2 linked regions of the Daphnia pulex genome follow. The protein of the gene in region 1 purifies or fractionates together with the protein of each later gene. This does not show direct contact. Links are inferred from orthologs where the notes say so. Each region holds a gene or a part of one and is shown on either strand. Other genes may lie near its edges.

Region 1 (16,119 bases):
CTCCCTTTGGAGACCGGCACAGCAGCACACAGTCCGGCAAGAGCCCAGCAGCACATATAGGAAAAGAGTAGATGGCAAAGTAGCACGATCGATAATCTCTTCTCGTCTTTGCTGCTGCTCTTCGCGGCTCGTTCCTCTCACATCCGCAGAGAGAGAGAGAATTGACATATAGACACATATTAGTAAGCTGGACGACATACAAGCTGTGATGCTGCTGGACTGTGGCGGGTGCGTCAGGGATATATAAAACGGGGGCGACAGTTTCGACAGCATCTGTCTAAGAAGCATCTCACAGGAGCAGAGCGTCTAATAGTCCCACATATTTCAAAGTGGATAATATTACGTAATACATATCGATTGCCCGACGACCCTCTCTTGTTGTCCTGCTGTCCTGCAGCATGCACAGCAGCCCACGTCTGTTTTATCCGGTTTTATCAAGAAAAAAGGTATAATAACGTTATACAATCGACTTTTGGCCTTTTAAATAAATAGACAGTATAGTCTATATAGTCCGCGCATATGCAGTCACAGAGTTACATAAACTATTTAATAATAAAACATCAAGATATCCGACTATGCTTTTTTATTCTGTGGGATGTGTGTGTCACAGGGGGCATCACGGTTGCTGGCCTCTGCGCTTGAGAGATAAGATTTAATTTTCTTTTGACTTTTTTTCGTCGCTCGTCCCAGCACAGACGAAAAATCTTGTGTCCGGGTTGAGTGCTGCTGCTGCTGCTGCCGAATGCCCCGGAGCGTGACATCTAAACGTTATACGGCTCCTTATGACCTAGCTAGCTCTCCAGCAGGAAAGAGAGCGCCTATATTCTATATTATACAGCAGACAGACAGACACAAAAAGTATAAAGATAGTGCGCGGAACGTATAGAAGAGAAAAGTTTGGGTTTAGAGACTTCTTCTTCTTCTTTTTTTGGTATTTTATTTCATTCTATTTTGTTGCTGCTGTGACCAGCGGGGAAAAAGGAAAGTTTTGGGGGGCCAAACTATCAACCGACGGACAGCAGCACAGCACAGAAAATGTCTAAAACTCTTTGGCCTACAGCAGGAGCTAGCTCCTATATAGACGAGAGAGTAGGCTATATAGCTATATTCCGTCGCCCACCCACATAGTTTCCCATAATGTAAATGTCGAGAGCCTGCAGAAGCAAAAGTCTGCGAGAGAAAAGAAAAGAATCGATTGTTGGAGAGACTTTCTTTTGTTTCTTTTTTCCTGCTGGACTTGCTGCTGCTGCTGGGACTTTCGACTCGAAATAAATGAGAAACATAGATGGAGATAATGGGTGTCGACACCCGTCGCCCCCCCCCCCCCCACCAAACAGGAGCGCTGAATAATTACCCATTGCCATCCGATATTAAGGAGCGCTGGCAGCACACAGTCGCAATATATCCAGTCTACCAAAAAACTTGTCTCCCCATGAACAATCTACCACTCAAGCGAATATACACACACACACACAGAGCAGCAGAGAGCATCGAGCGGCGGCCGTCATTATGCAGAAACAACGTCTCTCCCCCACTTCACGTGGGTGGAAGGAGCAGCTCCTTCTCTGTGTGTGTGTGTGTATCACGATTGCTTCTTTTCTTTTATTCTCTCTCTCTCTTTTATATAAGAAACTGAAAGAAGAGAGTGGAGACACAAGGCTCTTGGAATATAATAAGAGAAAGAGCGTCTTCTTCTTCTTTTTTCTGGTCCTCGTGGGCGCCGGGTCAGATCCTTTTTTTTTTCTTTTCTTCGAAAGTAGGAGCCAGTCTAGGAGCCACACATAGCGGCCTGGTCTACAAACGAAAACGAGTTTGGAAAGAGAATAAAAGTCGAGTGTATACACATACAAGAGAGAGATCTGCTGCTGGGAGAGCGCGAAAATCGATACGTGTGAAGACAGACGAAAAGGAGCCAAGGAGCGACCTCTTGCGGGGCCCGCATCTATGTATGAATGCGTGGCAAGATGGCGCCGTGCGTAATAGATGTGGATATAATACAAGTCGCTCCCATTCACCAACAGCACCACTTCTTTAAAAAAAAAACTCTGCACATTTTCAGATATTTTTGTAAGATTTTGTATTTCGTGTTTCAGGAGCCGCAAGGAGCCAACCGGCCTCCTATTGTGTGTGGGTCGTCTCTATACATACATCGTTCTGTGTATAGGATTTATTGGTTATATAGAATAGAAAAGCCTATGGCTCGAGTAGATGTCGATCGGTTTCGATCCGACCCTTCCATATTCAATAGGAGCCGTACATATAGATAAAAAAGGAGGAGGGGAAGGAATTTCTTTCCATTATATATCCGGGGAAATGCCATCCGGCGTTAAATTCTTTGCGCGGATGTTATTATATAATATCTAAATATTCAATTGTTATTTCTTTTGTCCTGTGTGTTGTGTATTGTGCATCTATTGTAATAGGAATGTGACTTGCTACTACTACATCCGGCAGGCGTGGTCGCCCAAGAACCAGACCATCTTGTTGACTCTGGTGCAAACGGAGCCGGGCCAATCCTTTTCGGTCCGCACGTCGGACGCTGGCGACAAGGAGCGCAAAATGATGAGCGGTCGCGAGTGCCGGACCCGGGTCGACGACACCGTTTCCATCTACAACGGCGCCACCATCGAGTCGCCGCTCCTGGCCAGGCTCTGCGGGACGGGCAACATGCCGCACATCACCGGAGCCGGCGGCGAGCTCCTGGTCGTCTTCCGCAGCCAACCGCACGACGCCCCGTTCAATCCGGCCCCGTTAGGAGCCTCGCCCGGGTTCCGATTAACGACCCGCGTTCGATTCGTGGCCGCCAATCAGGTGCGCCAGTATCATCCCGAGTGCCGGATCTCCATCACCAGCTCGGGATCCAACAGCCGCAGGAGCCAGCGCCAAGGGATCATTCGCAGTCCGGAAGCCACGATGGCTCCTAACACGTCCTGTTTGTACGAATTCACGGGGCGGGAGGATCAGCGGGTCTGGATGACTTTCCTGTCGTACCGGCTGGACGGCGGTGAGGATGGCGACTGTCTGACGCTGACGGACGGCCAGGAGCTGGTGTCCCGTCAGTGCGGAGCCACGGTGCAGCCGCGCATCTGCCCGCACGCTCTGGTCCACGCCAATTCGTCGACGGCCTACAAGCCGTGCCGCTGGCAGGACGGCGAGAGTTACCTGTCCCGCAGCCCGCGCTTCACCATCCGCCAGGAGCTGGCCACCGGAACGGCCATCCGACCGTGGAGTTTCGTCATCCGCTTCGAGTTCATTACCGTCGATCGTTTCAGTCCCAAGGAGCAGCTCGTCAGCAGCAGCGGCCAGGAGCAGCAGGAGTCTCCGGCTCCTAACGGGTCAGGGATGACGACGGGGGTGGCGGACTCGCCGGAAGCGCCGTCCAGCACCGGAGATGAGGACGACCAGCAACTCGCCTGGCAGATGATGACTCCTGATTGCTTCCAGCTCCTGGAGAGCGCCAAAGGAAATGGCAGCGTCTCATCGCCTAGAAATCCTTTGCTCTACGGACGCGGAGGCAGCCGCCACCTACGCTGCCTCTATCGCTTTCAGGTATATTACATTAGATTCCCAGGGCAGCCCAGTCCAGGCCAGCCCAGGCTGGGCCGTGTATTGATTTTGAACCAATTAGTGTGCACTAGCAGCAGCAATGGATGGTGAAAAGGCGATGAACATCCATCAGATGGATGAATCATTTATCTACCGAGAAAGATAAGAAGAAGAAGGAAAAAATATAGAACTTGCTCTCAATGCACCCTCGTCGGCCGGCTGGCCGTCCCCCCACCCTTTCCCCATTTATATCCTATAGGCTATAGACGTGTTCAAGCTCCGGTGGGTTAGAGGGGGGAAACTTTTGCAGCTCCATCCGGTTGTGCCATCGAATGCTGCGGATGTAAAAGCCCATTTCTCTCTCCGCTCCATTGGGGAAACGAGAGATGGAAGCGATGCGACTTCATCTCTATCTTCTATACTATTCGTCAAATAAAAATGGGGGCCGATCTTGCGTTATTGTTGCGTATAACTCTTACCAATAAGCGGCTAAACTCTACACAATTTCCACGTCAAATGGGCCAGCCACTGTCGCTAATCCGATCATCTATATTATTAGTTCAAGTCCGCCATTTTTTAAATTTCCAGCAATTTCAAATTTGGCGCGCTTTGTTTAAACAAGTGTAGAACCAAAAGCTTAAATTATAATTTGTCTAATAATCATTATTCCGGTTGATTGTGTCTTATATAACAAGGCCGGCAAAGGTGAGCACACGCATTTGACCATCAACCCGTTCCACTCGACGGGTTGCGCCCGGTTCAACCAGAGCGGCTGCCAGGCCTGTCTGAGCGTCGACGAGGTCTTCTGGGGCGGTCAGGTGCGCCGTCGCTCCTACCACACGTGCCGCTCGCTGTCCGGCAACAACCCGGTGGTCCTGCAGAGCGCCGCCTCGTCGCTGGAGCTCATCTTCGAGGTGCGCGACATGAACTGGGCCCAGGACGACGACCATTTTTACTTCGTGGCCGAGTACTCGTTCTCGCGCGGAATCGATCCGGCCTGCTGGGACAGCCACCAGCAGACGGGCAAGCGCGGCAGTTTGCGCATCGACCCGCGCGACCGATGCGTCCGCCACTCCATCCCGTGGCACATCCAGGCCCCCCGCGGTGGATACATCATCCTGGTCTTCCCGGCCGGCCAGGCCTCCGTCACCAAGACGGTCGAGGGCTGCCCGACCAACAATCGGCTCTTCGTCTACTCCATCACCGACGGCAAGACTCAACTCTACCGGGAAGTTTGTCTCATGGCCGGCGGACTCCAGCAGACGGGCGGTGACACTAAAACCCAGCAGCAGCAGCAGCCGCTCAATCTCTACTCGGCCGGCTGGTCGGAACGCAATTGGATGGCCGACGGGCTCCTGGTCGTCGCTTCTCTGCAAGGGGTGCCCATTCCGGATGAGACTCCGCTGGTTGTGACTTGGTTGTCCGTCTTCAAGGACGTCAGCAGCAAGTCCATGTCGTTCGCCGCCCGTCAGTCCGTTTACGGAGCCAATGCCAGCAGCAGTCAGATGGTCTGCCGGACGGGTTGTCCAGCACTGGGCGCCTGTTTGAGCTCCGATTTGTGGTGCGACGACCGGGACGACTGCCCGGATGGATCGGATGAACGTCAGTGCATCCGGCTGGTCTTCTGGCCGCTCTACGTCGGACTGGTCGTCATTTTACTGTCGCTGACGGCCGGACTGGTGACCGTCTACCTGGTCCACCGCTACTACCAGGCCCGTCGCTACACGGCCAACGGGCGGACGTACAAACCTCGGCCGAAGGAGACGAAAGCCAAATTCAGTTCCGTAACGGTCAGTCTGACCCGTCACTACGAGAAGGGCGGCCCGGGTTCCTGACATCCGATCACCCAACCCGACACGCCGCACTGGGCCACCGAGACCCTCTGCGTCGACGATTGGGTTACCAGCGTCTGATTTATTTCCTTTTTTCTTCTCTTTTTGATTTGGACAAAATCTCTCAAAACAATTTGTGTTGCGCCGTGTATAATTCAATGTCTTATGTGTGTATAATGCCCCTCCCCGATCGTTTCTCATTTGTGTCTCCAGTTCCAGTATATCCCTGGGATTTCAAAAAAATCGTTTCATCTTTCCTTTTCTCTCTTTTGATCAATTCTATCTTGATTGACATACATAAATCGATACCAGAAAAAATTTTAAAAACTAAAAAACTAAAAAACAAAACAACTGCAAAGTGGTGAGAGCGGACGGGCGACCGATATTTGAACTCGTCTTCCATCACACTTGGTAGCTCACTTTGATGTTCTTCATTGTCTCCTCATATCCAGAAGAAAAGTCTCTAACCTATATGTAAGATAATAATACCTGCCAATGCGAGCGTCATCTTTTGATTCTATATAGTCTCTCCCCTACTGCCTCCCAATCAACCCCCCCGAAAATGATCAAAGTATCACGAACGAAATTGGTTCAATTGCCAATTGAAAAAGAAAAAAAAAGGAAAAATTTTGTTTGTTGTCATTATTGCCATTCTTGATCTCTCTCCGAAAATATTCGAAACATTGAATTTGGTTGTTTATTTCTTTTCTTTAGATCATTTTGAATTGTGTTGAATGACAAATTTAGGCGCGGGTGATATATGTTTCTGAATTTTTATATTGATTGTTGTGTGTGTCGGAGAAAAAACAAACAAACAAACGGGAAGCTTCTGATTGCGGATGAAATTGGCCGTTGAAAATGTCGGGTGCGTTCAGAGCGCGCGCGGTCAAACAAGAAGCCCCGCCCAATAATAAAAAAAAAAGCGAGAAACATTTGATCCCATTGCAATTAGAGCCGTTTGTTGCTGGGTGGAGGGGGCAAATCACACACACACACACTCAGCCAATCTATATAAGTCGCTGCACACGGTTTTCACATCACGCACCGGATTTTTCTATTTTCTTTTTCATTTCTTCCGGCGTGTTATATGCCATCCAGCAGGAGCTCAGCTTGGAAAACGAACTATATATGGAAACAGATGATTATATATCTACCTAACTCTCTAGCTCTATATACACCGCAGCCGTTTCTTATTCTTTTTCTTTCTTCTTCTTCTTATACACCCAAAGGAATTGGGTTTGGACATGCAAGTGTGTGTGTGTGTGTATGTACAGTTCTCTATAACTCTGCTATACATACTATATATGGTCCACGGGACACAATTCCAATTGTGGAGGGGTCTGAGCATCCCCAATGCATGCTTCATGCCTTCCTTCATTCTTATGTTCTTGTTCGTTTTGTTCTTCCACCAAATAAAAACAAACCAACCCAAAGAGATAAAACTACGTCGCGAAAATTACCCTGGTTGTTTTTTTATTTATTTAACTTGAATTCCTCCACCACACACACACACTCCCCTCTCCGCTCTTGCTCTCTCGTTCTTTGCTCATCCACTGGATACGATGTTGTTTCCTTGTTTGAGTTCTTTTTTATATTCAACGTAAAAACTGTGTCGTTCCCCCTGTTTTTATTTTTTAGTTCCCTGTACATACATATGAAAAAAAAAAACTTCCGTACGTGATGATAAAATCAGATTCACTCCGTGTTTTTTTTTTTGTTGAAAAGTTAGGAGAATATAGAACGAATCGGGGAAAAAAAATTTAAGTTTCGTTGAATGATCAGCAGTTCGAGGGAAAATAAAAGAGCTGTGACCGGGTTGGATATGGCGGGGGATGGAATCCAATGAGAGAGAGTGACACGATGTATAAATATATGTGGAATACCATCGGTTCTGTATTCATCAATTGATATATAAACCGTGTAAAAGGTGAAATACAATGGGAAAATGATCAGCCGTTCATCAAAGTGTTTGATACTTTTTTTTTTCATTTTTCTGTGACAGACATTATCAATCTCACTCGATTCCACAAGACAATGTTAAGTGGATTTATAGTAATCAAATATATATTTCAAATTGTCATCCATTCATCTGACTATAGTGTGCAAACCCCACCTTTCAATATTTGAATTTGCGGATTTTGATGGACTCAACTTGTACGCCTAGTAATACCGGTCGACAGGCTTTTTTTTTTAAAATAATCAAAAACAAATTATTATAGCTGTTTTAGAATAGCTCAGTTACAACATATTTCAATACTTGGGGATATCTTGAAAATCTTCTTGCTGATCAATGGTATTTGACTGATAGCCACACTATATTGATTTGGAAAAATGGTTTAGATAAAAGTTGCTATGTTTAAAAATGCAGCACATGATACCTATCATAATTAGCACAACTAGACCGCAGAGTGATCCTAGAATGAGACGAGTTCTCATCTCTTTCCACCACATTGTTTTACGGAGCCTGCATGGTGAGTAAAGATTTTGTTAAATATTGTAGACTAGTTGTTAAAAATAAAAGATTACCTTGAGGAAGCAGTGTGAAATTCATCGGAAGCACTTCTTAAATTTTCTGATCTCTCATTCAGCTCATCCAGCTGGTCACCTCTGGCAAACAGCTTATGCACATTCTCCTTCATAACGTTAGTGACCTCTTCCACCTGGGATTTTACCCTGTCAAAAGAAAAACAATTAGATCAACATGTAATTTGAATTCTCAAGATGTAAGCTTACTCTTTCAGCTTGTTGTTTGAAAATTGTCCTCCATCTTTTTTACTGGAAAAATTCAAATTTGAAATGAAACAAACTAATTTGAAATATTAGAAATAGCTTACTTGAGCACGAAATCTTCATCACTATCATCAGACACATTATCTAGTAGCTGCTCCTGTAAAGGACAAGGATTCTTAGTGTTAGTATTTAAGTTACTCCCACGTAACAACATATAGTTGTAAAGAATATTAAAGCTGACAAGTGAGTTTTTGGTAAAAACACTTTATGACTTTACTCTTTCAAAATCTGCTCCTTCACTCCTGCTTGGTCTAGTTGGTCTTCCAGACATAGCAGATATTAAAATATTTATGAACTTTCTTGAAAATGTGAAAATAGGATCAAACTAACTAGTAACTTTACAATAACTAAAGGAAAACAAAGCTGTCAATTAATTTCATCAAATATCTTCTGCTAAACGCCATCTATTGTCGACGACTACAACTGTGTACACATTCGTCAGCTGGGCTACAAGTAAAAGCAGCAAAAGAATAGCTGTTTGTGATTAATAAGTACTGTTTCATTTTTTAAAAAGAACACATAGCATTTAGCATAGGATCTTCAATAACTCGCTAATTGCCGTAAAAAGACCATTTTTATAAAAACAATTCGATTTTTAGTATATTCATGTGCGAATAGATGGCAAAAGTCTAAATCAGAGTATTTTTGAAACCTGAAGTTTGAATAATGATCAGAAATCTAACTTTAAACAATTAAACAATAATAATTAAAAAAAAAAAAAACATGTATGGGGTTTTTCACTCTGTAGACCAATACTGGCATCGCCAGATCAATGTTAGCTTCATCTAGAGTTCTGAGCCTACGCTTTTTAGGACTCAAAGAACCGCTGTATTCAGTTAACCATGGATTAAGAATTAACCGATTGGCTTACAAGTGTAACGTTGTAAAGCCATTTGAATACCTAGATGTAGGTCTTAGGATTTGAATGCAATACTTCCATGCTAACTTTCTTGCACCTCGTTAGATTCAATGAAATCAATGAAACCAACGATAATCCATTCCATTGACGAGTTATTACCTCATTAATTGCTATTTTACTTAGTTATTTATCGATCGGTGTGAAACAGCTATGTTCACCAGTAGAGTCGAACTCAGGTGTCAAAGTGCTCTTGCGATCACTAAGCCACGCCTTATCCGACTCACACACCCGACCTCCCATTGTTCATATATTAGTTCAGTTAGCCTATAGAGGTTTTTCCATTTGGTTCGTGTAAGTAGAGGGAAAAGTCGTGCGGCTAGTCGACTAGTGCGCACCATGGCGGTGGATAGCCGAAACTTGCTGCAGACTTTGCTTGATCCAAACGATAGTCACCGTAAGGCCATGTACTGTAACCTGTCAGGCTGTCAGCAGCAAAAGTGAAACCTGTTTTTTTTCTTAAGTGTTTAAAATGACAAAAGGTTTTTGTTTCATATGTTCAACTTATGAAAAAAAAAAGAGATCGCCGAAGTTTTTTCAAAGTGCCAGAATGCAACATTAACAGTAATTCAATTGAGAAAGAACTCATTTCACTTTGAAAAAACTTCGGCGATCTCTTTTTTTTTTTTCATAAGTTGAACATATGAAACAAAAACCTTCTGTCATTTTAAACACTTAAGAAAAAAAACAGGTTTCACTTTTGCTGCTGACAGCCTGACAGGTTACAGTACATGGCCTTACGGTGACTATCGTTTGGATCAAGCAAAGTCTGCAGCAAGTTTCGGCTATCCACCGCCATGGTGCGCACTAGTCGACTAGCCGCACGACTTTTCCCTCTACTTACACGAACCAAATGGAAAAACCTCTATTTAACTTTCTTTTCATTTTAGGCACATTTTATTATCTACTTGACTTTCAGATTCATTCTTTAAACGTCGTTATTTCTATCGTTAACATTAATCGTTAACATAAAAAAAAAAAAATTATGTGCTTTGCTCTTCTTTTTTTTACATCGAAAGAAAACAAAAAGTTCGGATGTGACTACTAGATGGCAACTGCAAATTTAGTTAAATATGGCTGGTAGGTGGAGTCATGGGCTCTCACCTCTCAGGACGAAAAATGGAGAAACATGCCGAAACCCGAAAGTAAGCTCAAGCTTGACTAATTCTTTCTATTAAACTATTACAGCGCATTGTTTATCTATAAATGATGTCTATAATGTCTTTAATTAATGTTAATTATGAAGCTGGCAAGCTGCTCAGAATAATTGTTCCTGATCATTCCTTCTATCCTTTTAGGTTCTAGAATCCAGACCTACATTTTGTTGTTTTATTTTGAAGAATGATGGCGAAAATAAAAACAGGTATTGCATTAATCTTCTCCTGTTTCCTAGATATTTGGAGTATTCATTGTTCTGAGTGCTTGTTTGTTTACTGTGTAACTGTGTGAACTAGAGAGGGCAGAGAAAATACTTTTGGGATAGAGATAAAGTGCATTGACCTATTTTGAGAGAACACAAGTTCCCTATAACGAGGCCATAAGAATCAAGTAGGTTTTCTATGTTTGGAACACAATAACATTCTACTTAATCTCCATAAGAACCAGACGTCGGAAAAAGTTACTTACCGCACAGGTTCTCCACTACCAAGCCCGTTTTAACCTCCATTCTCTCTGCCTCTATTATATCAAAGGACTAAAGCATCAGGTATAAATAGAAAATTGTTTAAAATTTCTTTTTGAATCCATCTTAATGAGCTTTTTATTCTTCCGATAGATCTCGAAACACACAGGCGATGAAACACAATAGATGCCCTATGTGGTTCAAGATTTCCATCATGGCCCAAGAATAATTTGCCCGCTTTGATCTACCTTTTGAACCATTCAAGATGAGGAAGAATGTCTCGTTTTTCCGGAAATTTCAGTTCTAATCGTTGAGGGAATATTCGCTTTGTAAATTCGAACCCTCTGTGCATGGCCAGCTGAGAAGAAATGGTGACCAAAGCCGGCAGCATTTGCAAAACGGACAGGGAGGTCGCCACATGTTTTCCCCTATTGCGTATTCGCAAGACAGTGGAAACTCCCAAATTGTCGCACCCCATCAAGATTTCAAATAACATGGTGCTTTTAAAAGGTAATTGTATTTATTTTTAAAATTTATTATACGGCATAGAGTCCCTTTAGAAGTCACCCATCAACGGGGGTCGATTGCTGACGTTAATACTGTCGCAAGTGTCGCATTCATTATGCGTCATAAACATGCAATTTTGCCGAATCGACTGGGTTTGTAGGATTTTCCGAAATGCTTTTTGTCGAATCGGCTGCCATTTTATGATACCTAGTAGAGAATTTTCGTACTGCTTAACGAATTTATTCTGTTGTCTGGTTTATTCTCCCTTTTTTCTGTTGATGCCTGATTGGTGGCTGGTGTACAAAGAGTATTTGTCTCTTAAGAATTGAAATTTTAAATTAAATTGAAAATTTTACATCGAAGTTCCAATTGGCTTAGTGTTTATAAAAAATTTTGAAATTCCCACTTGTGGAATTAAGTTTTCAATAACGTTAATTTTGTGGTCGTGGGCGTGGTGACATAATTTTAGCTTTCCCCATTCAAATTATTTCCTTAACTGCTTCAACATATTTTCCAGCAATTTTATGTAAAGATGGGTTAAATATGTTTGATGTATATAAAATGAAGTACTTTTCCTTTAAAATTAATATTAATGTAGTTATCATAAATAATTAAATGGTTTGTCATGGGGTTAATTAATATGAAAGTGCTAATAATCATATCCTTTTTATTCTTTCCAGGTTCCTGACTGCATCAAATTGTTATTTTTTAGTTGGAGTGGTGAAGAAGAAAGTGCCCCAGCCCTTTTCTGTTGGAACAGTAGCTCTAATGTATCAAGACATCTTGGGTGAAAGTAGGTTCTTTTTGGAAATGTTTTGGGAGTAGTTTTTTTCTGGAATTCTGGGAAAAGTGGGAATGAAAAGTATTTTTTTTTTCTGGAATTCATTGTGGTATTGAATTTCAGTGTTTCCCTGCTTGAGAGTCTGTCAAGTCTTATGAACAGGAATTCTGAGAACATTTTGACTGTAGAAACAATTATTGGAAAGTGTCAATTTTTAAGTTAAGTGCTCATGTGTTTAGTCTACAATATTTTATTTTTCTTTAATTGCATTTCACCTTTATTGTTTCGTAGGTTTTTCCAATGTTGGTTGGTGTCTGAGCTGCAGTCGAAGTTGGTGTCTGATGTGCAGTCGAAGTTCGAAATCTTGGCCAGAATCATAGATTACATGATATGGCCTTGAATGGAGAGATTGCCTTCATTGTCTATCTTGAGCCACGAGAAGTTCAACCAAAGAATTATCCTTATTTGGTAAATGATTTTCGTTTAGACCAATACAGCAAGTGTATTCTGATGTTTCATTATACAAAACTAATTTTGGCAACAAGTTAAGTGGTTTGACGCAACGAAAGAAAACGATGCGGTCAAAGAAAGTTCCATGAGTTTTCTTGCCGGGAATACGGAATATGACATGGAAATAAATCGAGTAAGGTAATCGAGTAGTTACGAAAAATTTTATTCAAACATGCAAAGAATACAGTTAATGCTTAAACGATTGAAGAGGAAAGTAAGCAGACCAAAAACATTTTAAATTAGCCTCTTCCTGTTACGATTGTTTAGAAATGTGTTTTAATTTTGGTTGTTTGTGTTGTCGTCTGCTTTAGGATCATCATGGAAGAGACTGTCAGCTTTTTCTCGGAGATGCGAAGCCTTTTCTTCTATCAAAAACCCAGAGTGCTCCAGTAATTGGATCCAACTCTTTGGAGGTACTCTAGTTAATACTCCATGTTTGACAAACCATTCCTCTAAAGTTTCATTAATTCCAACCGGATCTTCTTTATGTTCCGGTTTTGACAAATCAGATGGTGCTTCTTCTTTCGCATGTCTTACAGCTTGTTGTAATGTCTTCAGAGCTTCTGTCAGTGCTGCAGCTTGTTCAGTGGCAAGCGCTTCAGCTTGTTGTCGGGCAGTGGCTGCAGAATTTACCACTTCATTTTTCTCATCGGTCAATTTCAATAGCAGTTCCTTTTGAATGTGGTACTCTTCCGTCAAAGTTTTGATATCTTCTTTGCACGAGACTAAAGCGGATTTTTCTTCATCGAAGTTGGATTTTAGCTGATCATATTGCGCTTTCTGGTTCATCAATTCGGTGTTTGCCTGTTCCAAAAGTCGATTCTTATCTTCCGTTTCCGTTTGAGCAGCTTTAACTGCATCCGTCAATGCAGATTTTTCGAGTTCGATAGTGGATTTTTGATTATTGAAGTGCGCTTTAAATCTCGTGAACTCGGTTTGCATTTCATCCAAAAGTTTGCTCTTTACTTCTTTTTCCGTTTTAGCGAGGTTAATCTCATCCACTAAAGCTGATTTTTCTTCATCGAAGTTGGATTTTAGCTGATCGTATTGCGCTTTCTGGTTCATCAATTCGGTGTTTGCCTGTTCCAAAAGTCGATTCTTGTCTTCCGTTTCCGTTTGAGCAGCTTTAACTGCATCCGTCAATGCAGATTTTTCGAGTTCGATAGTGGATTTTTGATTATTGAAGTGCGCTTTTAAGCTCATCAACTGAGTTTGCGTTTCATCCAAAAGTTTGCTTTGTTTTTCTTTTTCCGTTTTAGCGAGGTTAATCTCATCCACTAAAGCTGATTTTTCTTCATCGAAGTTGGATTTTAGCTGATCATATTGCGCTTTCTGGTTCATCAATTCGGTGTTTGCCTGTTCCAAAAGTCGATTCTTATCTTCCGTTTCCGTTTGAGCAGCTTTAACTGCATCCGTCAATGCAGATTTTTCGAGTTTGATAGTGGATTTTTGATTATTGAAGTGCGCTTTAAATCTCGTGAACTCGGTTTGCATTTCATCCAAAAGTTTGCTCTTTACTTCTTTTTCCGTTTTAGCGAGGTTAATCTCATCCACTAAAGCTGATTTTTCTTCATCGAAGTTGGATTTTAGCTGATCATATTGCGCTTTCTGGTTCATCAATTCGGTGTTTGCCTGTTCCAAAAGTCGATTCTTGTCTTCCGTTTCCGTTTGAGCAGCTTTAACTGCATCCGTCAATGCAGATTTTTCGAGTTCGATAGTGGATTTTTGATTATTGAAGTGCGCTTTTAAGCTCATCAACTGAGTTTGCGTTTCATCCAAAAGTTTGCTATTTTTTTCTTTTTCCGTTTTAGCGAGGTTAATCTCATCCACTAAAGCTGATTTTTCTTCATCGAAGTTGGATTTTAGCTGATCATATTGCGCTTTCTGGTTCATCAATTCGGTGTTTGCCTGTTCCAAAAGTCGATTCTTGTCTTCCCTTTCCGTTTGAGCAGCTTTAACTGCATCCGCCAATGCAGTCTTTTCGAGTTCGATAGTGGATTTTTGATTATTGAAGTGCGCTTTAAATCTCGTGAACTCGGTTTGCGTTTCATCCAAAAGTTTGCTTTGTTTTTCTTTTTCTTCATCGAAGTTGGATTTTAGCTGATCATATTGCGCTTTCTGGTTCATCAATTCGGTGTTTGCCTGTTCCAAAAGTCGATTCTTGTCTTCCGTTTCCGTTTGAGCAGCTTTAACTGCATCCGCCAATGCAGTCTTTTCGAGTTCGATAGTGGATTTTTGATTATTGAAGTGCGCTTTAAATCTCGTGAACTCGGTTTGCGTTTCATCCAAAAGTTTGCTTTGTTTTTCTTTTTCTTCATCGAAGTTGGATTTTAGCTGATCATATTGCGCTTTCTGGTTCATCAATTCGGTGTTTGCCTGTTCCAAAAGTCGATTCTTGTCTTCCGTTTCCGTTTGAGCAGCTTTGACTGCATCCGTCAATGCAGATTTTTCGAGTTCGATAGTGGATTTTTGATTATTGAAGTGCGCTTTTAAGCTCATCAACTGAGTTTGCGTTTCATCCAAAAGTTTGCTTTGTTTTTCTTTTTCCGTTTTAGCGAGGTTAATCTCATCCACTAAAGCTGATTTTTCTTCATCGAAGTTGGATTTTAGCTGATCATATTGCGCTTTCTGGTTCATCAATTCGGTGTTTGCCTGTTCCAAAAGTCGATTCTTGTCTTCCCTTTCCGTTTGAGCAGCTTTAACTGCATCCGTCAATGCAGATTTTTCGAGTTCGATAGTGGATTTTTGATTATTGAAGTGCGCTTTTAAGCTCGTCAACTCGGTTTGCGTTTCATCCAAAAGTTTGCTTTGTTTTTCTTTTTCTTCATCGAAGTTGGATTTTAGCTGATCATATTGCGCTTTCTGGTTCATCAATTCGGTGTTTGCCTGTTCCAAAAGTCGATTCTTGTCTTCCGTTTCCGTTTGAGCAGCTTTGACTGCATCCGTCAATGCAGATTTTTCGAGTTCGATAGTGGATTTTTGATTATTGAAGTGCGCTTTTAAGCTCATCAACTGAGTTTGCGTTTCATCCAAAAGTTTGCTTTGTTTTTCTTTTTCCGTTTTAGCGAGGTTAATCTCATCCACTAAAGCTGATTTTTCTTCATCGAAGTTGGATTTTAGCTGATCATATTGCGCTTTCTGGTTCATCAATTCGGTGTTTGCCTGTTCCAAAAGTCGATTCTTGTCTTCCCTTTCCGTTTGAGCAGCTTTAACTGCATCCGTCAATGCAGATTTTTCGAGTTCGATAGTGGATTTTTGATTATTGAAGTGCGCTTTTAAGCTCGTCAACTCGGTTTGCGTTTCATCCAAAAGTTTGCTTTGTTTTTCTTTTTCTTCATCGAAGTTGGATTTTAGCTGATCATATTGCGCTTTCTGGTTCATCAATTCGGTGTTTGCCTGTTCCAGAAGTCGATTCTTGTCTTCCGTTTCCGTTTGAGCAGCTTTGACTGCATCCGTCAATGCAGATTTTTCGAGTTCGATAGTGGATTTTTGATTATTGAAGTGCGCTTTTAAGCTCATCAACTGAGTTTGCGTTTCATCCAAAAGTTTGCTTTGTTTTTCTTTTTCCGTTTTAGCGAGGTTAATCTCATCCACTAAAGCTGATTTTTCTTCATCG
Region 2 (16,528 bases), on another chromosome or scaffold:
GTCATTTAGAGAGAACCTGGCGGTTATTAGACTAGAGAAAACGCGTGAAGCGACGTGACAACACGAGCTATATGTTCCAGATGGTGTATATTTCCTTCCCCCTGATCGACTCATTTTAGTTTCTCCAACTGGGGTGAGTGCGACGAACTTTCAGTCGCCACCGAATAGGAAAGTAAACTGGCAGCTGATTATTACAAACAGTTCTTAAGTGCTTTTTGCTTCTTGGAGTGCGTGCTCTCATTTTGTTTTGTTTTTAAAAACATGACAAACGCTTAAACCGACTGATAGAATGACGAATGAAGAAGAATTCGGAATGTTAGTTTCAAGTATAAGAGTATATAACTGTTTGTTGACAGCTTCAAGCTTTGATTTCAGAATAAATAGTAATCATATCTGAATTATCTGTGGGTTCAGTTTCCTTTGCTTGATCATCAATCTAGTTTCTATGCAGTCAGTTATGAGATTGCGGCCGTGCCTCTTCAGCGCAAGCGTACCCGATTACCGCCTTCCCCTATGCCGGAAGGCAACTCAAATTGAAAACAAATTTCCTATCTCTTGTATGCCAGAGAGAGAAGTCATGTTGACTCAGCTGGCGGGCTTCCGATTTAATGCATGTTTCTGAGCTGTCTGGCTTTGGAAACGACACGAAACGGTGACGTGGTTTTTTAGCATTTGTTCCAGCATCCGTTCGTCGTTCGGGAAGGCAAACAATAAAACATTTTATTTCTTTCCCCTAAAATAACGGGGAAGTGTAGGATTTGTTTCGTTCGAAACAGGTGACTTGCAAGCAGTTGCCAATTGGGAAGTAAATTTTGTTAAACCTTGCATCGACATCATTTGCTGAGATGTACGGAAAATCCCCCCTTTTTTTCCTAAATAGTTTCCGTGGTGTTTTCATGACCGCGCGTGTAACGCGTCAAAAGTTTTCTCCCTTCTCTCTCTCTATTTATAAAACTTATCTCCTTGATGTACTCGACGTGTGGACGGGGCTATTGAGCTCGGGAGAAACACAGTCACGAGAAAGGGAAATCTGTAAACGCCCTTGCGCCTTTGAGTTTTCAGTTTTGCCATCGTGAGCTAGATTTCACGTCGCGTTACTTCAGTGGAATGTTGCTTGGTCTTTGACGGTTCGTCCCCTGATGGATGGTTTGTTGATGTACTTTTTTTCTTTTAGCTACACCTGGCCGCACTAGGTTCACTCCGTGGAGAGATATCGGAACTGCACGCCCGACTCCAAAGGGCCGCTCAAGATCGAGATACGCTCGAACAAGCCCTGGCCAAAACACAGGTATTATCGTGCCCCCTTGTTTTCCCTTTGTCGCTGCCAAAGCGAATTCTATCATGTTGTTCATGTTCTTATTTCGGCTTCTTTCAGTTGGAGCGATTGCGATTGGTGCAGGAGAGCGAGGAACGGTTGGAACGTCAATCGACGCAGTACGAAGAAAGGCTGACGGAATTGCACAGCGTTATCGCCGAGCTGACGCGGAAATTAAACCGACAGCAGTACAAGTAAGAAGAATGGTATTTTCTGCTGAGATGTCATCAATCATTTGTTCCGTTGTTGAATTACAGCGTCATCAAGGAAGAAGGAGAAGAAGAGGAAACGGAAGACGACGAAGATGAAGAAGAAGCAGAGGAAGATGATGACGTCGACAATGACGGCGAGGAGGAAAGTAAAATGAAAAGGTCCGATCCAGAAGTCAAAGGCTCTGTCGAACGCCCGACTGATGTCAAGCCTGAGGCAACTAATCGGAACAAGCGGGCAGAAGAAGTTGGCTATAGCTTGCTCAGGGATGGACAAGATGTAACTGAAGAAGAACCAGAAGCTGCTGCATCCAGCAGCTGCAGTAGCGACCTCTCTTTTGGTGCCAGCTCTTCCGGTATGGATCATAACATAATGAAGAGCTAGTCTTAGAAATGACTTATTGATCGAAACATGAAAGGGGGTTTCGTCTACTCTGTAAAAACTGTCGGCGGGGGTGGAGGGGGGGATGAGACTTGGCACTAGTAACCAATAAGATTCCGCCTTTCAGATGTCTGAATTCCGCAATCAACGCCACAATTAAGTCCTGTAGTTCTGGCCAAGAATGCTTAATTTGAGATCAAATGAAGATCGCCCGCAATGAAAGCGAGATTGGATCTGGGCAACAGCTTAAATGTCGCTGATTAGTGATTCAGTGTTACACTTCTTCGGAAGAGGCACTTGGCGAGTTGTCAAACAATCAAGTAGAAGAAATGACACATTTAACAAGAAGTGCCTGACGTGACGACGAACGAGCGTGTTTCTTTGTACTCTCCTATAATATTCGCATTCTTTCATGCAGATGAAGATGGCGCCGGGCCAGCAGGTGAAGCGAACCAGGCGGGCGAAGATGATCTTGACGCGAAAGCAGTTCAGGCCGGAGAGAATCTTGATCAATTCCTTTCTTCCGCTGCCAAAGAAGCTTCCGCTCCGATCGCTGATCCTTTGACCGCTTTCAGCTCAGAAAACAAAGAACTGAAAGTGGAAATTCTACGACTCGGCCAAGATTTGAACCAGGCTCACGGAATTGTGGACGCCCTGCGCATGGAGCGTGATGAACTAAGGCGACAGCTGGAAATGAGCCAACAACCTCGGCCTCTACCTCTTTCGGCGGCAGCGAGTATGGGAGCTCTCTCTAGCCTCCAAGGCAGCCCCATCCACCAGCGGTTGGTATCAAGTCGCGTATCCAGTCCCGTTGTTGTGGAAGAAGGTCCAGTTTGCAAGGTTGCTGAACGGGTGCGCATTAGACGACTAGACGGCCGGGAAAAACTCTTGACCGGATCTCAAATCGCCAGTTTTGGGGTAAGACATCTCTGTCTGTGTTTGTGATTGATGTGTCAGTAAATTCAGGTGAGAATAAGGAGAAAGCCCACTGCTTCGAGTTCGAGACTGCCCACATTCCGGATCTTGCCATTTCGTAATCTTCTTTAGTGCGAAAGTCACAGGCACTCCCATTGTTTGTCTGCCAGAGGCCATGTCCAGTATTGGAAGCCAACAACATTTTTTCTCTATTCTTAATTCACGAGGCTTTTCTTTGGACCTGTTTACCTTTCAACTATCGCACAAAGTTTATCATAAGTTTCTTCCCTTAAAAGATAGACAATCCGCTTCCATGAAGGCTATAACTTTGCACCCTTAAAAGAGTTTCCGCCTTTATCATATTTTTTTTGTTTGTTTCGAAGCTTTACGTGGTTCTCTCTCTCCATTACGTAAAGCCTTTGTCTTTATTGTTTATAATTTCTAGATACGCGATGCTCGAGTGGCTGAGCAGTTGGTTTGCTCCGTTCACCAAGATTCTGTTCAAGGCGAGGCACATCACGCATCCGGAGCCGAGTCTGTACGTGTCAATGAATTGGAGCTGGAAGTGGAACGGTTGGCTAGCCGCTCTGAGCATTTGCGAGCTCAAAATGACGTGCTTTCGATGACACTTGCCGAGTCTCGAGCTTTGGGCGAACGTCTCGCAGTGCTGCTCGGTATTCATATTCGATAAAAGAAATGCTGAAATAGATTTTTCTATTTTTTATTTTTGTTTATTCATGCAGGCAAATACGAATCAAATTGCATGGCGTTACGCATGGCACTTGAAAGAGCCGATAGAGTTTCAGAAGCATTTGAAGTTCTAGCTGCCTTAGTAGAAAGCGAAATGTCTCTTCTATTGGCCAACTGCCAAGTGGCAGGACTAGGGTTGACTGGCCGTAGTGGAACCGCTTGGGAAACGGAATCAGGTGGCAATAGTAAAGATCTTAGTGTGCTTTGGAAACGCGCTACAGAGCGCAGGCGTTCGGCTGAGAATCTTGCTCGATCCCTCTTGTCAAAATACGATCGTGAACGAGACAATTGGGAGGACACGGGAAGACACACAAAGTACTTCAAAAAATAAAAAAATTGTCGGTCTTCAGGACTTATAATTTTCTTATTCCATTTGTTTCTCGTCTATCTTGTAGTACAACAAGCTCTACCTCAAGTGGAGCGGAGAGTGGTTCAGGATCGGGATCCAATCCAGCTTGTACTCTGGAGCCCACAGAAAGGAAAGTACGAGATATAATCGGCCGGTTGAAAGGTAACATATTTTGTGCCCAGGCTTACTTAAGCAAATTACTTAATCATTTTCTCATTATCTTTTGTAGGTGATAGATCAAGCTTGGAAAACACAGTTCAACAAGTTTCGCTTCCCCTGGAGTCAGTTTTGGTTGATCCTTTGCCTAAAGAAGTCTTACCTTTGGCTGAAGCTCGGAAAATTGATCTAGAGATGGCCGTCATCATGCAGGTGAACATCTGCTTTTGTATAAATGAGTAAAAATAGATTTAATCCTATCGTTTCTCTAGGAATTGATGGCCATGAGAGAAGAACGTTCACGACTTCGAACTCAGGTTTATATTCTTGAAAAAGAGCGGGCTACTCATGAAGCCCAACAACAAGCAACTGCCGCTCAACTTCGAAGTCTTAACACAGGCGTAGGTTTTTTGGATATTGAAATGGAGAATGATTTAGGTTACTTAAACGCACTTTTCACTGATAGGGATCTAACACAGATGCATCAGGCGAAAAGCCTCTGTCCTCAATTGAAGGAGCTGATGGAGACGAATTAACAGTTCGAGAAAAGCGACTCCAATTGAAAATCCAAGAGTTGACGGGAGCCCTTGAACGCGTCACTTCAAGTGCAGAAATCCGTAGTCAGCAGTCGGCTGAACTAGTTAGCGATGTCAAGAAAGCCAACGCGTAAGATATCTTTAAATGCTTAACTTACAATATGTTACGTTTTCAACAAATATGTAATATCCGTAAACTAATTTTCAGGACGTTGGTCCAACTTCTTGAGAGGACTAAGAAAAAGTACCAATCTCGATTAAAAAGACTAGAGCAGCAAATGGTCAACATGTCGGAAAGACATGCAATGCAGGTATATAGAGAAAAATTACGAGTTATCAAGTGTGACCGACATAAAAATGTCATGTGATTATCAGGTTCGCGTCCTAAAGCAACGAGTTATGGTGCTGGAAGATGAGTCTTCCGTCCGCCCTTTACCTTTAAGTTCAGCCCCAAGTGAGACTTCCCTATGATCTTACCCTTTTTTTTACCCTTCTCTGAATTACGCTTTGCTGTACTCATACGCTTCTTCTCGTTTTCAATTGTGTGATATATAAAATCAGAACGTGCTACTTACCATTTATAAGACAAGCTAATCTGAAAGTGCATGACTTTATACTATTTTTTTGTTTTGTTCCCTTACAACCAAATCTTTTTGGTTGTCACTTACTGAAAATCTCGGATGAATCAATTTCCTGTTGCAGTGTATTATCCGAATTCGATAAAGTAGGTTTACATTGAATTTCATTCATTAAGTGAAGCTAACTGTCTCTCAATTTCAGCACACGCGAGTTCGATTTCGTAGTTTTTAGTGATCAAACCAAACCAAGTGGCTTCCAAATGTTTCATTTTGTCTCCAACCTCTGTCTGATCTTTTTTTCTAGCCCAATTGACATCTTGGATTTGTTTCCTGTAAAGAAAAATATAATAGTGTATTTTGCAATATGGTGTCTACTTTACTGAAATCATACTTAAATTCCTGAAGATGCTTCTGAGATTGTTGGATCATCTGGGACAATACAGTGTTATAAATTCTCCATGATTCACAACCATACTCTGACATTAATTCCAAGTTCAAAATCCTGTTTTTTAATTGAAATTTTTTTAAATTTATGGTTGCTGTAAAATTTTTTTTTAGAAAACAAACCTTGTTGTTTGATGTTCTAATTGAGCCATTGAATTATCAACACACTCTATCCATGCTTGAAGATCATTTAGACGACCAGCAGATGGGGGTGGGAGTTCATATCGTTTCATGCTCAAAACATCCATTGGTTTCTTTTGAGACAGTCGCTCAAATTCAGTCTTCATCAAAGGAGTCTATGAACATGATAATTTCCATAATTATTACACACTCCTATCATTACTTCCATGCAGACAGTTCTTACTTCAAATGCTGACAGCTCAAGTGGAGGAAGATGTTCTAGGTAGTTTTTGGTTGGTCTATATCTTCGTGTCTCTTCATCAACCAATGCAAGTGCCTGATAGAAAGAAATTACTCTCATTAAACAACTATTGGACAAGAGCGAGAGTTCTCAGCAACATACAGTACTATGGTCTAGTACAATAATGTATTGATGTTAGAGATGACTAGGCTAACACAAGAATCTCCAAGCCTCAATTCGAAGCGATTCAAATATTTCAAAGTTTGCAATGTATAAGTTTTGCTTACCGCTTCTCGTAGAGTTGGATCTCCATATTCTTGGTCAACGTATGGTAAATCGTCAACCAAAATCCTTTCGTTCGGCGTGGAAATGTTTGTTGACGGAATCGGCATTTTGTGATTTGTGTCAAACTGTCTGTTGTCAGCAAGATTGTCAGATTTTCTGCTGGATTAATAAATATGAGCCACAGTTTTAGTAATTGATTTTCATTATGTCTAATTATTCATAAACTTACTTTTTGATAATGAATAAAGATCATTAACTTCCTTTAAATGAATAAAATATGAAAATAAATTGGTATATTAAATTTTATTCAATAATATTTTGGACACCGTTGCATTGTGAAACAAATAAAACAATATTAAAAATTTTATAACTAATCACTCCATTAAAATGTTTGAAATCATCAATTGAAACTCCATAATTTTTGTTATTAAACAGTGGATCAGTTCAGTGAATAATCTGTAATTTTTCAAGTAAATAATCAAGTAAAAAACGGAACGTAGAGGGCGGCAATTCTCAAAGTATGCCGGCAACATTGTAGACTTCCTCTTTGTCGCCATTACTGTGGGTCTCTTTCATTCGCCTTTTTACCCGGTCAGGACTATCTACCAAGATGGTAAGCATGAGGTTCTCCAAACATTTTACTAGTTTTTACATACATTAATTTACGAATAGTAAGTAAAAAGGTTAACGGGAGAAACGTGTTTTAAGAAAATTCTTGCGTGCGTATATTTTTCTAAGCCATTTTCTTGTTAATCTATGGCGAAAGTTTGGGAGTAAAATGTTACCCACAGCGTGGTTTCGTCCTCGTGTCAAATGGGCTCTTGCTGTTTTTCTATGTTAATTCAACGTCGTTCTTGGTTTATTGTTATGTTTTGGTTAATTGGTACATCTAGTTCAAAGTTTGTGTAAATTCAAGTGTTGTCTCTTGAAAATCTTAAATCTAATTTGTTTATCCATTTTGTTTTACAGAGTAAGGTGGTCGCGAGGCCGTTGATTACCGTTTACAATGAGAAGGCTGAGGCCTCTGGAACCAGCATCCAGCTCCCTGCAATCTTCAGGGCTCCCATTAGGCCAGACATTGTCAGCTTTGTTCAACAACAAATGTCAATGAATCGTCGTCACCCTTATTGTGTCAGCGAGAAAGCAGGTAACTTGTATGCCAATTATATGGCACACAGCATTGAAATGTAGGAGTAATTGTACGTCAGACTCTTCTTGTGCAGTGTGCAACACTAAAGCGAGTCCCTGAGGCCTTTCTCGCTTTGTTTTCTTAAAGTGAGGGGTTGGGCAACCGGACAAACTTCATACACACATGTAATGGTGTGATTGTTAATCTTCTTCTTTCCTATTACAGGTCATCAGACAAGTGCTGAATCATGGGGTACTGGTCGTGCTGTGGCTCGTATTCCCCGTGTCCGAGGAGGTGGTACCCATCGCTCCGGTCAGGGTGCCTATGGTAACATGTGTCGTGGTGGACGTATGTTTGCCCCCACCAAGATCTGGCGCCGTTGGCATCGCAAGATCAACGTTAACCAGAAACGTTTTGCATTGTGCTCGGCCGTCGCTGCTTCGGGTATTCCGTCTTTGGTGATGTCCAAAGGTAAATATGAGCCAAGATCATCATTGCACGGTTCCATACTAGCATGATGAATATGTGTTTCCTGTGTTTCTGACAAGCATGAAGTCATACCATGAGTCCCTGATCCATACAATGATAGTAGTAAATAAGGTCATATTGAATTAGAACTAAAATGTTTTTACATTCAGGTCACTTGATCAATGATGTCCCGGAGATGCCTTTGGTTGTGTCGGACAAGGTTCAAGAATACAAAAAAACCAAACAGGCCGTCGTGTTGTTGCGCCGTCTTCGCGCATGGACTGATGTCCAGAAGGTTTGTTTCTAGATATTTATGTATAATTATCACGGGAAAATGATGAGTTGCTTCTTGGTCTGTGTTTATGAGTAAATGATTTCACCTTAGAGCTCTGAACAAAATCTGAGTCATGAATGATTTTATGTGTGAACACCGTCTAATTAATCTGATTTCTTACAGGTTTACAAGACCAGGCGTTTCCGCGCAGGTAAGGGTAAGATGCGCAACCGTCGCCGTACCAGCAAATTGGGTCCACTGGTCATCTATGGCAGAGATCAGGGTTTGACCAAGGCTTTCCGTAACATCCCCGGAGTTTCTATGATTTCAGTAAACAAACTGAACCTCATGAAGCTTGCTCCTGGTGGTCATGTTGGCCGTTTCTGCATCTGGACCGAGTCTGCTTTCCAACGCTTGAACGCCCTCTACGGTACTTGGCGTCAGAAGTCTAAGCTGAAGAGCAACTACAACTTGCCTCAGCCCATCATGACCGGAACAGATTTGTCTCGTTTGTTGAAGTCTGATGAAATCCAGAAGGTTATCAGACGACCAAGGCAAGCTTTCTTTTTAATCTTTATTATTGATTAATTAATGATGAAAACCACATTTAGAGCATTGGGTTATGAATCTTTGTGATTAGCAAATTAATCTGAACGCAGTTTATCATTCAAGTGATACTGTCTGGTGCAAAGATGACTAATCGATACAATTTAAATTACAGGAAGATGATCCGTCGTGCATCTGTTAAGCGCAATCCTCTTACCAACATGAGAGCATTGATGAAGTTGAACCCGTACTCCGCCGTGATTAAGAAGTCTGCCGCTGCTGTTGCTGAGGCCCGGAAGAAGAGCAAGACTGCTTTGCTCGAGAAGAAGCGCGAGGTAATTTTGTTTTCTGTGAATGTTTGTATGTCTTAGATAGTTTTTCGTTTGATTTCTGTTTGAATTGTTAAAATTGTATTACCGCATGTGAACGTAACTTAATGCATGCCACATTGTTTAACATGTACAGGCGAGTGCTACCAAGAAGGTAGCTGCCTAGCCTGCGAGTGAGCGCACACAGCATGGTTTATTGAGCTAATCAACAGATGTTTTTGGTGAGTTGTCCATCGTAGTGAGAATCTGATTTGGAAAATAGTCCAAGTTCTAATTTGTATATCCATTCTACAGTCAGTAGTACCCGTACCAAATTTACCTGTTGAAAAGCCGAAAGAAGAAGCGCCCGTTCAAGCACCGGTCCAAGATGTCAAACCAACTCAACCTCCTCCTGTTGAAACCCCTAAGCCAACACCACCAGAAACAAAGAAAAGCAAGAAATCCAAGACGGCTGCAAAGGATTTGCAAGTAGAACCGATGGATGTAACACCCGCGTCCGTTGTTGAGGTGAAGACTGCCCTAGCTCCAGCTAAGGAACCATCTCCGCCAATCGTTACCATCCCTGAACCTGTAGTTAAGGTGGTAACACCAGTCGCTACTCCTGTAAAAGGAAAATCGCCACCAGTCGTTCCTGCCCCAACACCGATTGCTGTCCCGGAAGTGAAGCCGTTGGAAAAGGTTCTTGCTGCTCCCGTTGAAGCTATCCCATTAGAAGAAGCTTCTGTTCCCGAATCAGCTGCTGATAAGGGATCGAAAGCCAAGAAAGCAAAGGGGAAGAAAAATAAGAAGGAATGAGTGACATCATTGAACCTGTGCCTGTATGACGTTTTTTCTGTGACATCTGAATAAACCTTCTGCAGGCTGAAATGTGTTTAATTTATCTTAATAATTAGCTATTAAATGTAAATGTCATGGAAATGCTAATTCTCGCCGTTTGTGGCGCTGTCTTCAATGTTTTGTCAGATGGTGTTTTATACGTCAAGTCTACAATACATTCCTTGTCTTCGTCCTGATAGCAAGGTATCGTATGTAGTGCTCAAATAGGTTCAGAATTGTGCTACAAGAAACAGAAATGAGCTCAGAGAAATTTGAAACTCTGGATGAAGATGTACAAGTTTTGTTCGAAATTCTGCAAAGAAAGTGTTCCGGTAAGCTAGAACAATGTTTTGGCGAAGAAAAAAAGCAAGTTATTGCCGATGTCGAAAGAGGACTAGATGAAGCTAAACAAGCAATATTTGAAATGGAAGCTGAAGCTAGAGCAGCTCCTGGCTCTTTTAGGATGGACATGATTGGCAGGTAAAAATGTGAATGTCTTAAGTTTACACAGCAAACAATACATGTAGTAAAATTTCAACTAATGTTTTTTTTATCATCCAACTTCAGAGTACGAAGACATCAGGACACCTGTTCCAAACTTGCTCTATTGATCAATTCTTCCAAGCAATCAGAAATGTCTCTGGCCTCATCAAGAGGAAAACTGTTGGAAAACCAATCCACTGCTGCATTTAGCCAAAACCGGGGCATTGATAATGCTCTTCAAACAACTGTTCGCCAAGGAACTGCAGTTCTGGAAAGAACATCACAGAGCCTCTACAGAACTACTCAGGTTGCTTTAGAAAGTGAAGAGATTGGCACTGGAGTTATTCAAGAATTAAGTCAACAAAGAGAAGTGCTTGTTCGTACAAGAGATAGATTGACTGAAACGGATGCAGAGCTGGGAAGAAGTAGAAGAATCCTTAAGTCAATGTCTCGTGTTGCTATGACTAATAAGCTTGTCCTAATTGTCATCATTCTGTTGGAGATATGCATTTTGACAGGTTTAGTTTATTATAAATTTTTTTCTTGAAATTATTGTCCTCAAATTCTTAACATACCTCATCAAAAATGTAACTAATAGTGTTAGTGCCTTGAATTTGTGTAAAAGCCGATACAAAAATATAATCATGCGCATAGCGACCAGTATTTTTTTCCCCTTGCGTGCGCAAAGGATTTCCTAGCGGCCTTCGTACGCAGACGGAGTTACGAACCCAACCTCTGGCTTTCAGTTCCATTTGACAGAAGCTCTTCCTGTGTCATGGCGTGCTATACGTGTATTTAAAGTTTTTGCGTTTGCCAACGAAATCTGAGATTTTTCTAAGTTGTTCGTGCTTCGACATCGACAGTTAAAATGGGGTAAGTTGTGCATTTATTGATTCTGTATAGTCTTAAATGAAAAATCGATTCGTACCATATATCCACGTAGCAACAGCTGGATGCTGAGCACCACTGTCAAGTCTGAATTCAAATTTACTGTAATTAAAAGGGTATATGTTTCAAATATTTGTATTTTGGACTATGGAATTAGACAAATAAGAATTTTCCATTAGGGTGTATAAATACCATTAAGCTAAAGTGTAAATCAATATTGAAGTCACAGACTCACTGAAGTGTCCCGTCATTCAAATGTTAAAAAAGATTTTATTAATATCTTGGCTGTAAATATAGCATTCATATTTTCAAACTAATAAGCTAAGCTGCATCCAAGTTTTCAACCTGTACTAAATTCTAAAGTTGTATTGAGCTAAACTTCGAAGCTGAATGACTTGTGCCTCTAGCTACAGCCCAGAAGGATTGTTGCGAAATGTTATTCTCAACTCAAGCAATAGATTGTTGCTTTAGGTGATACATCAAAGTAATATTTCATCCAGCCAGAAAACTCTTGATATTGCTAGGATGCTAGGCCCACTGTTAGTGGGATTTTAGTCACACAATATTGATTTACTTTGAAACATGCAAGCCCCATTCAGACAATTCCAAAAGCACAAACATTCAACAATGATAATGGGAAATAGAAATTTGTGGACTTTGTGTATTCAGTTGTAAGAAATCGATGCTGCGTGTCCTGTGTCTAATTCCTAGATGGCTACTTCGAACCCTTTCCCTTATTTTTCATGGTATTTATTAGTTAATGCTATTCTCGTCATGTTAACTTTCATCCGTACCTACAGTATTCTCCTTTTTTTTCGTTTGCTCACTACAACGTAAGATATCGCGTGTCGAGTTTCATTTCATTTCACTGCTTCTTTTGGAGGCTTCTATCGCCGGCGTCTCCTAGGTTGGACGCTAGATATAAACCCGTCTGAGAAGCCCCACCTTTACTTTAAAATAAAGTAAAAATTAATTTAAAAAAAGGCAGGGGAAAAAAAAATAACTAAAATCATCCTTCGGATAACAATCGGTTGAAAACAGGCTCATCTCATCAAAAATGAATGGCATCAAAGTATATTTATTCAATCTTCCATAAGAGTTGGTTTGCGAGGGGATGGGGGTATTTGTTTATTTCCGTTTTTGTGTATGTGTGTGTGTTTGCAATGGGGAAAAAAAATCGCTTGTATACTTGCCCGTGTTTACGTGTGCGTGCCAGAGTCGCAATGACGGGATTGCTAGATCTAGCCGGAAACTTTTAATGTTTCATTTCCTTTTTTCTTTCTGTAACTTGGCATCCTCCTCGGTTGTGGCACACTCCATCACCATTTAGCACGCGTGACTGTGCATGCCGTATCGACAAATCTGTCGATTCGGCAATTTCGTTTCGACACTCTTTTCGTGACTGAATAACCCGTACACTTATCATTGAACTCTAATCGCCCGAATTTGTGTGAGGATTTCGACCCGGAGACTATCCCATTGGAACTTTATTTTTTCAATCTGTTCCGCAGTCGGGAACTAGTTGAATTCGTAAAAACTGTGGCTTAAGTTCAATATTCTTTCAGCTTGCTCAAATATTTAAGGCGTAGGAAGCGGTTGCCGAGGTTTAGGGGGGGGGGGGGATTGCATCTTGGTTGTGCGCCTGTGTCAGGGCCAAGAAAGCAGTTCCCGGATATGATGCCATGTCGTGTCTGTCTCTTTTGGAGAGGGCGAGCTATTTGCAAGGCGCCAGTGAAAAGATGGAATCACGTCGACAACCCTTGTCTAATCTTAAGGATGAATCTCGATGATACCTCAATCAGACGTGTCTCTTTAAGCCTTTAGGTCCTCGCCATTCGATCTATAGTTCCCGAAATCTTATTGTTAATCCTAAGATTTTATGAGGTTGCCATGGATGGCTAATGAGTGCCTGCCATGATTGGGCTGCGTTCACCAAGGCGACGTTCTCTCCGTGTTTCTTCTCTCGCTGACTCTCTCGGGATTTTCGAGCGGCTAATGACTTTATTACTCAGTGCTCTATTTATCCTCACAAGTCACCTAGTAATATTTACAGATATCCTACATGAACTAGAGCTATAGAAGCTCAACATTACCAAACAGAAGAAAAAGTTGTTTTAGTTCAACGAATTTTCCTTGGTTATTTGCACGATCTCCTGTTCTTTTTTTCTTTTTTACTCTATTGTGTTCTGTGAACTGTAAACCCATTACATGAATGGATAGGTAATGGTGTCTTGATCGTTCAACTGGAATTCGGCTTCTTTGATCCTATCTACTCGATTGCGATCAGGCTCAATCCTGTTAGACTTCATCTCGTATCGATGGATCTCGCACCCAATGGTCTATCGAACAATCGCCGTCGTATGGATTCGATAACACACCGAGGAACTCCTCCTGGAAGTCAGACCAACAGCTGCTGCATACTTCCCCTGACAAGAGTGTATTGAACACGGTCGAAACTAAGCCCCAAAAGATAGGAAAGTAGAAAGCCAGATTGATGTCCACAGTTGGTCTCGATGACGTTTGAATCTGCGAGTTACACAGAGAGAAAATAGTGAGGGACTGGCGGGAAACAAGAAATCGTATTAGGTCCCAATCCGATTTATATTGTATACGTTGAGCCTGTCGTCCTAGCCCCTTGAAGGAATGACGACACTTTTTTTATTATTATTATTATAACGGATAACGTTGAATTTTTCTTTCTTCGCTTCTATTTCGTCTAGCGTCATTTTACATTGTGGACAGACAGCCGGGGAGTCGAATGGCGTCGTTCTTGTATTTGTTCGTTGCCATGTCGTGCGACTACCTCTTTTATATTCCGGCAATGTCAGCTACGAGATTTTTATTTTGTCGCCTTCAGAATTCATTGCCCCCCGCTGTTATTATGTACGCCATATTGCCTCTGCAGGATGTGTCATTTTCAGTGAATATTTATCGCGCTCATATAAGTATGTTATATAGACTAGTATCCAGTTTGCGTCTACCGTCCCAGCCTATATTGAAGTGTATCTCTCCCACTCTAATCCCTGTGTGTGTGAATAGAATTTCTCTGGATAGGTAGAATGGATCAAAACCAGCAACAGCAAGGTTGTTTTGTTGGTTTCTCTAGCTTCCTTTTCGTGTCGAGAGGTATTGATTCGTTGCTTCTCTCTCTCTCTCTCTATCTCTATCTCACTTTTGGTCGGTTGGAACTGTTTGCCCAGAGAACAGAGCTCAGGGAGAACGGTGGGTAAGCAGGAGGAGGGGTTGGCTGATTATGGCCCCCCACTCCCAACCGCACGTCATAATCAAGGCGCCAAAAGTGATTGAGTTGTGTGGCCCTTCATCACACACACACGATGCGTACGAATCGTTTTGCTTTAATCACAAGTTTGTCTGGGTGTATAGTAGTCGTGGTGGTCACAGTTTACTTTTTTCCTTATCCCATCGCGCCACGCCTCTACTCGTCGAATGCATTCCACCTCACCCCTAATGAGTTTGAAACTGTTACATTTGGTAGTGGCTGGCTTGTAAGTGCGTCGGATCCATCCCGTTTCCGCCCGTTTCACGAATTCAAATTATCAGCGTTCGTGTTATCTTACTGGGATGGCTCATTATCTCTCCCTCCGTGGGTTCCGCATTAATTGACTTTTTTCTCCCCCCGCATATTGCCCGAAATGCCATGATAGAAATTGTGTACGTGACATTTCCGAAGAAATCTCGTGACGCTCTGCATTTTTAACGCTTGGAATGTTGGGGTTTTTGTGAGCTGTTCGCCGTTTAGTCTGCCGGCTTACTTGAAGAAAAGTTGCTTCAAACAATATTTTACGTGATTTTACGAAGCCCTGGCCTTTATCCGCCCGACCTGATCGTCGTTGCAAGAGCGGGCAACTGAGCTGGACAAGAATGTTGGTTCTGAATCCTTATACGCGTATACTTTTTGCTCCTCGTTCATTTATTTATGTGGGCCTGCGCCATCGCTGGAATGCATTCCGTTGCGAAGAGTGCGCCATATTGATTCTAGCGTAAACAATAATGAGTTCTTTGACGCCCTGAAGTTTCCATGCGGCTCGTTAATTTTATCCAGTTGGACTTGGCTCAAAGACTAGGCCGCCAGCCAGCCCAATTGTAATCCAATAGAGAAATGACATATCGATCCGCTCGGCGCACCCTCTCTCTCTCGCGCGCGCTACGTTTTCTTCCCAACTGTTTCTATTCAGTGACGCTGGAAGGTCCTTTCGTGATATCAAGTTATTTGCGGCCTGCTCCAGTGTACGCAGTCTGTATGGCCCCCGATCCTTCTCCGTTCTAACCAACAGCAGCCCAACGACCCCGTCCATCTTGGGACTTTGTCGTGCTGAAATGGGGCGAACGTGCCCGCATGTGCGCACGGTGGTTAGATAGCTTGAGCAGAAAAAGAAGAAGAAGAGGAGAAAGAAAGAGTGAACATCTGCCCGCATTTTTTGTCCCTTTCTGTACTCCCTTTCTCTGGCACTATATTCCTTTTGTGTACGCTCAAAAATCGATATAATCCTATTTGCTTTTACCCTCTCGAATTGATCATTTTCGCCTTAGACTTTAAGAGACTTGCCACAGAATAAAGAAAGCGTACCCTAGAGAATCGAGCCGAATGTCTTGTTTATAGTAGTTTGCAAATCCAATTTCTTTAGCTTAATCGTTTCTTTTGCTGTCCGTTAGGGAACAGCCAATTTTCACGTGCAAGGCTCACGTGTTCCACATCGACCCGAAGACGAAACGTTCGTGGATCCCGGCCTCGTCGTCCGCCATCAACGTCTCCTTTTTCTACGACTCGACACGATCCCTGTACCGAATCATCAGCGTCGAAGGCACTAAAGTAAGCAACACTCTTCTCCATTCAAGATTCAAAGTTTCTTTTTCTCCACTTTTTCAAATGCCATGCTCACCTGTCTTTAACGTGAACCGGCTGGTAATAAATACTCAAAAGGGCAATGCTTCTTCTGCTGCCCTACGGAGAAAAAAGCCAAGCACAAGTTGTTGAACGTCAACAAGTTGGCGCCGTCGTCCTACCGGCGTTCAGGCTTAGAGTGCCTTTCCTTGTTCCCGATTCTTTTCGACACGACTTAGTATGTCGATCCCTTTTTTGTTTGTTTTTTTATTCTTTCTCCCTCTTCATCTTTCAGGGTTTTGTGTCTATTGATTTTGCGTCATCTCTGGTGCCCTAGAAAAGTTGGGCCGTTTTTTTCTTTCTTTCTTCCCCATTTTCAGCTGCGGGTTAGATGGATGGATGCATCACGGTTTGAAGAACACGGTTTGAGCTGTTAATGGGAACTGAAAGGGTTTACGGATCGATTGTCAGC

The links.
Region 2: the proteins of vesicle-associated membrane protein 2-like (region 1) and vesicle transport through interaction with t-SNAREs homolog 1B-like purify together in Homo sapiens (affinity purification with mass spectrometry; 4 studies listed by BioGRID and IntAct, counting the BioPlex papers as one, with this or other methods). This does not show direct contact. The link is inferred for Daphnia pulex from reciprocal best matches to the Homo sapiens genes VAMP4 and VTI1B.

Annotation. Positions count from the first base shown.
Region 1 is NC_060027.1:3,968,210-3,984,328, reverse strand, and holds vesicle-associated membrane protein 2-like, read right to left. Parts: upstream 8,569-16,119; 5' UTR 8,440-8,568; coding exon 8,386-8,439; intron 8,266-8,385; coding exon 8,213-8,265; intron 8,154-8,212; coding exon 8,112-8,153; intron 8,052-8,111; coding exon 7,905-8,051; intron 7,843-7,904; coding exon 7,757-7,842; intron 7,692-7,756; coding exon 7,666-7,691; 3' UTR 7,636-7,665; exon of another isoform or gene 7,572-7,635; intron 7,560-7,571; 3' UTR 7,248-7,559; downstream 1-7,247. Other genes in the region: uncharacterized protein LOC124208271, read left to right, coding at 2,424-3,549, 4,242-5,381. UniProt on the Homo sapiens protein: Involved in the pathway that functions to remove an inhibitor (probably synaptotagmin-4) of calcium-triggered exocytosis during the maturation of secretory granules.
Region 2 is NC_060018.1:4,109,311-4,125,838, forward strand, and holds vesicle transport through interaction with t-SNAREs homolog 1B-like, read left to right. Parts: upstream 1-9,984; 5' UTR 9,985-10,098; coding exon 10,099-10,322; intron 10,323-10,409; coding exon 10,410-10,872; 3' UTR 10,873-10,982; downstream 10,983-16,528. Other genes in the region: uncharacterized protein LOC124189006, read left to right, coding at 1,175-1,288, 1,376-1,509, 1,573-1,880, 2,325-2,824, 3,267-3,495, 3,565-3,886, 3,967-4,082, 4,150-4,289 and 11 more; pre-mRNA-splicing factor SPF27-like, read right to left, coding at 5,355-5,520, 5,582-5,692, 5,758-5,930, 5,999-6,091, 6,283-6,387; homer protein homolog 2-like, read left to right, coding at 11,194-11,198, 15,888-16,044. UniProt on the Homo sapiens protein: V-SNARE that mediates vesicle transport pathways through interactions with t-SNAREs on the target membrane. These interactions are proposed to mediate aspects of the specificity of vesicle trafficking and to promote fusion of the lipid bilayers.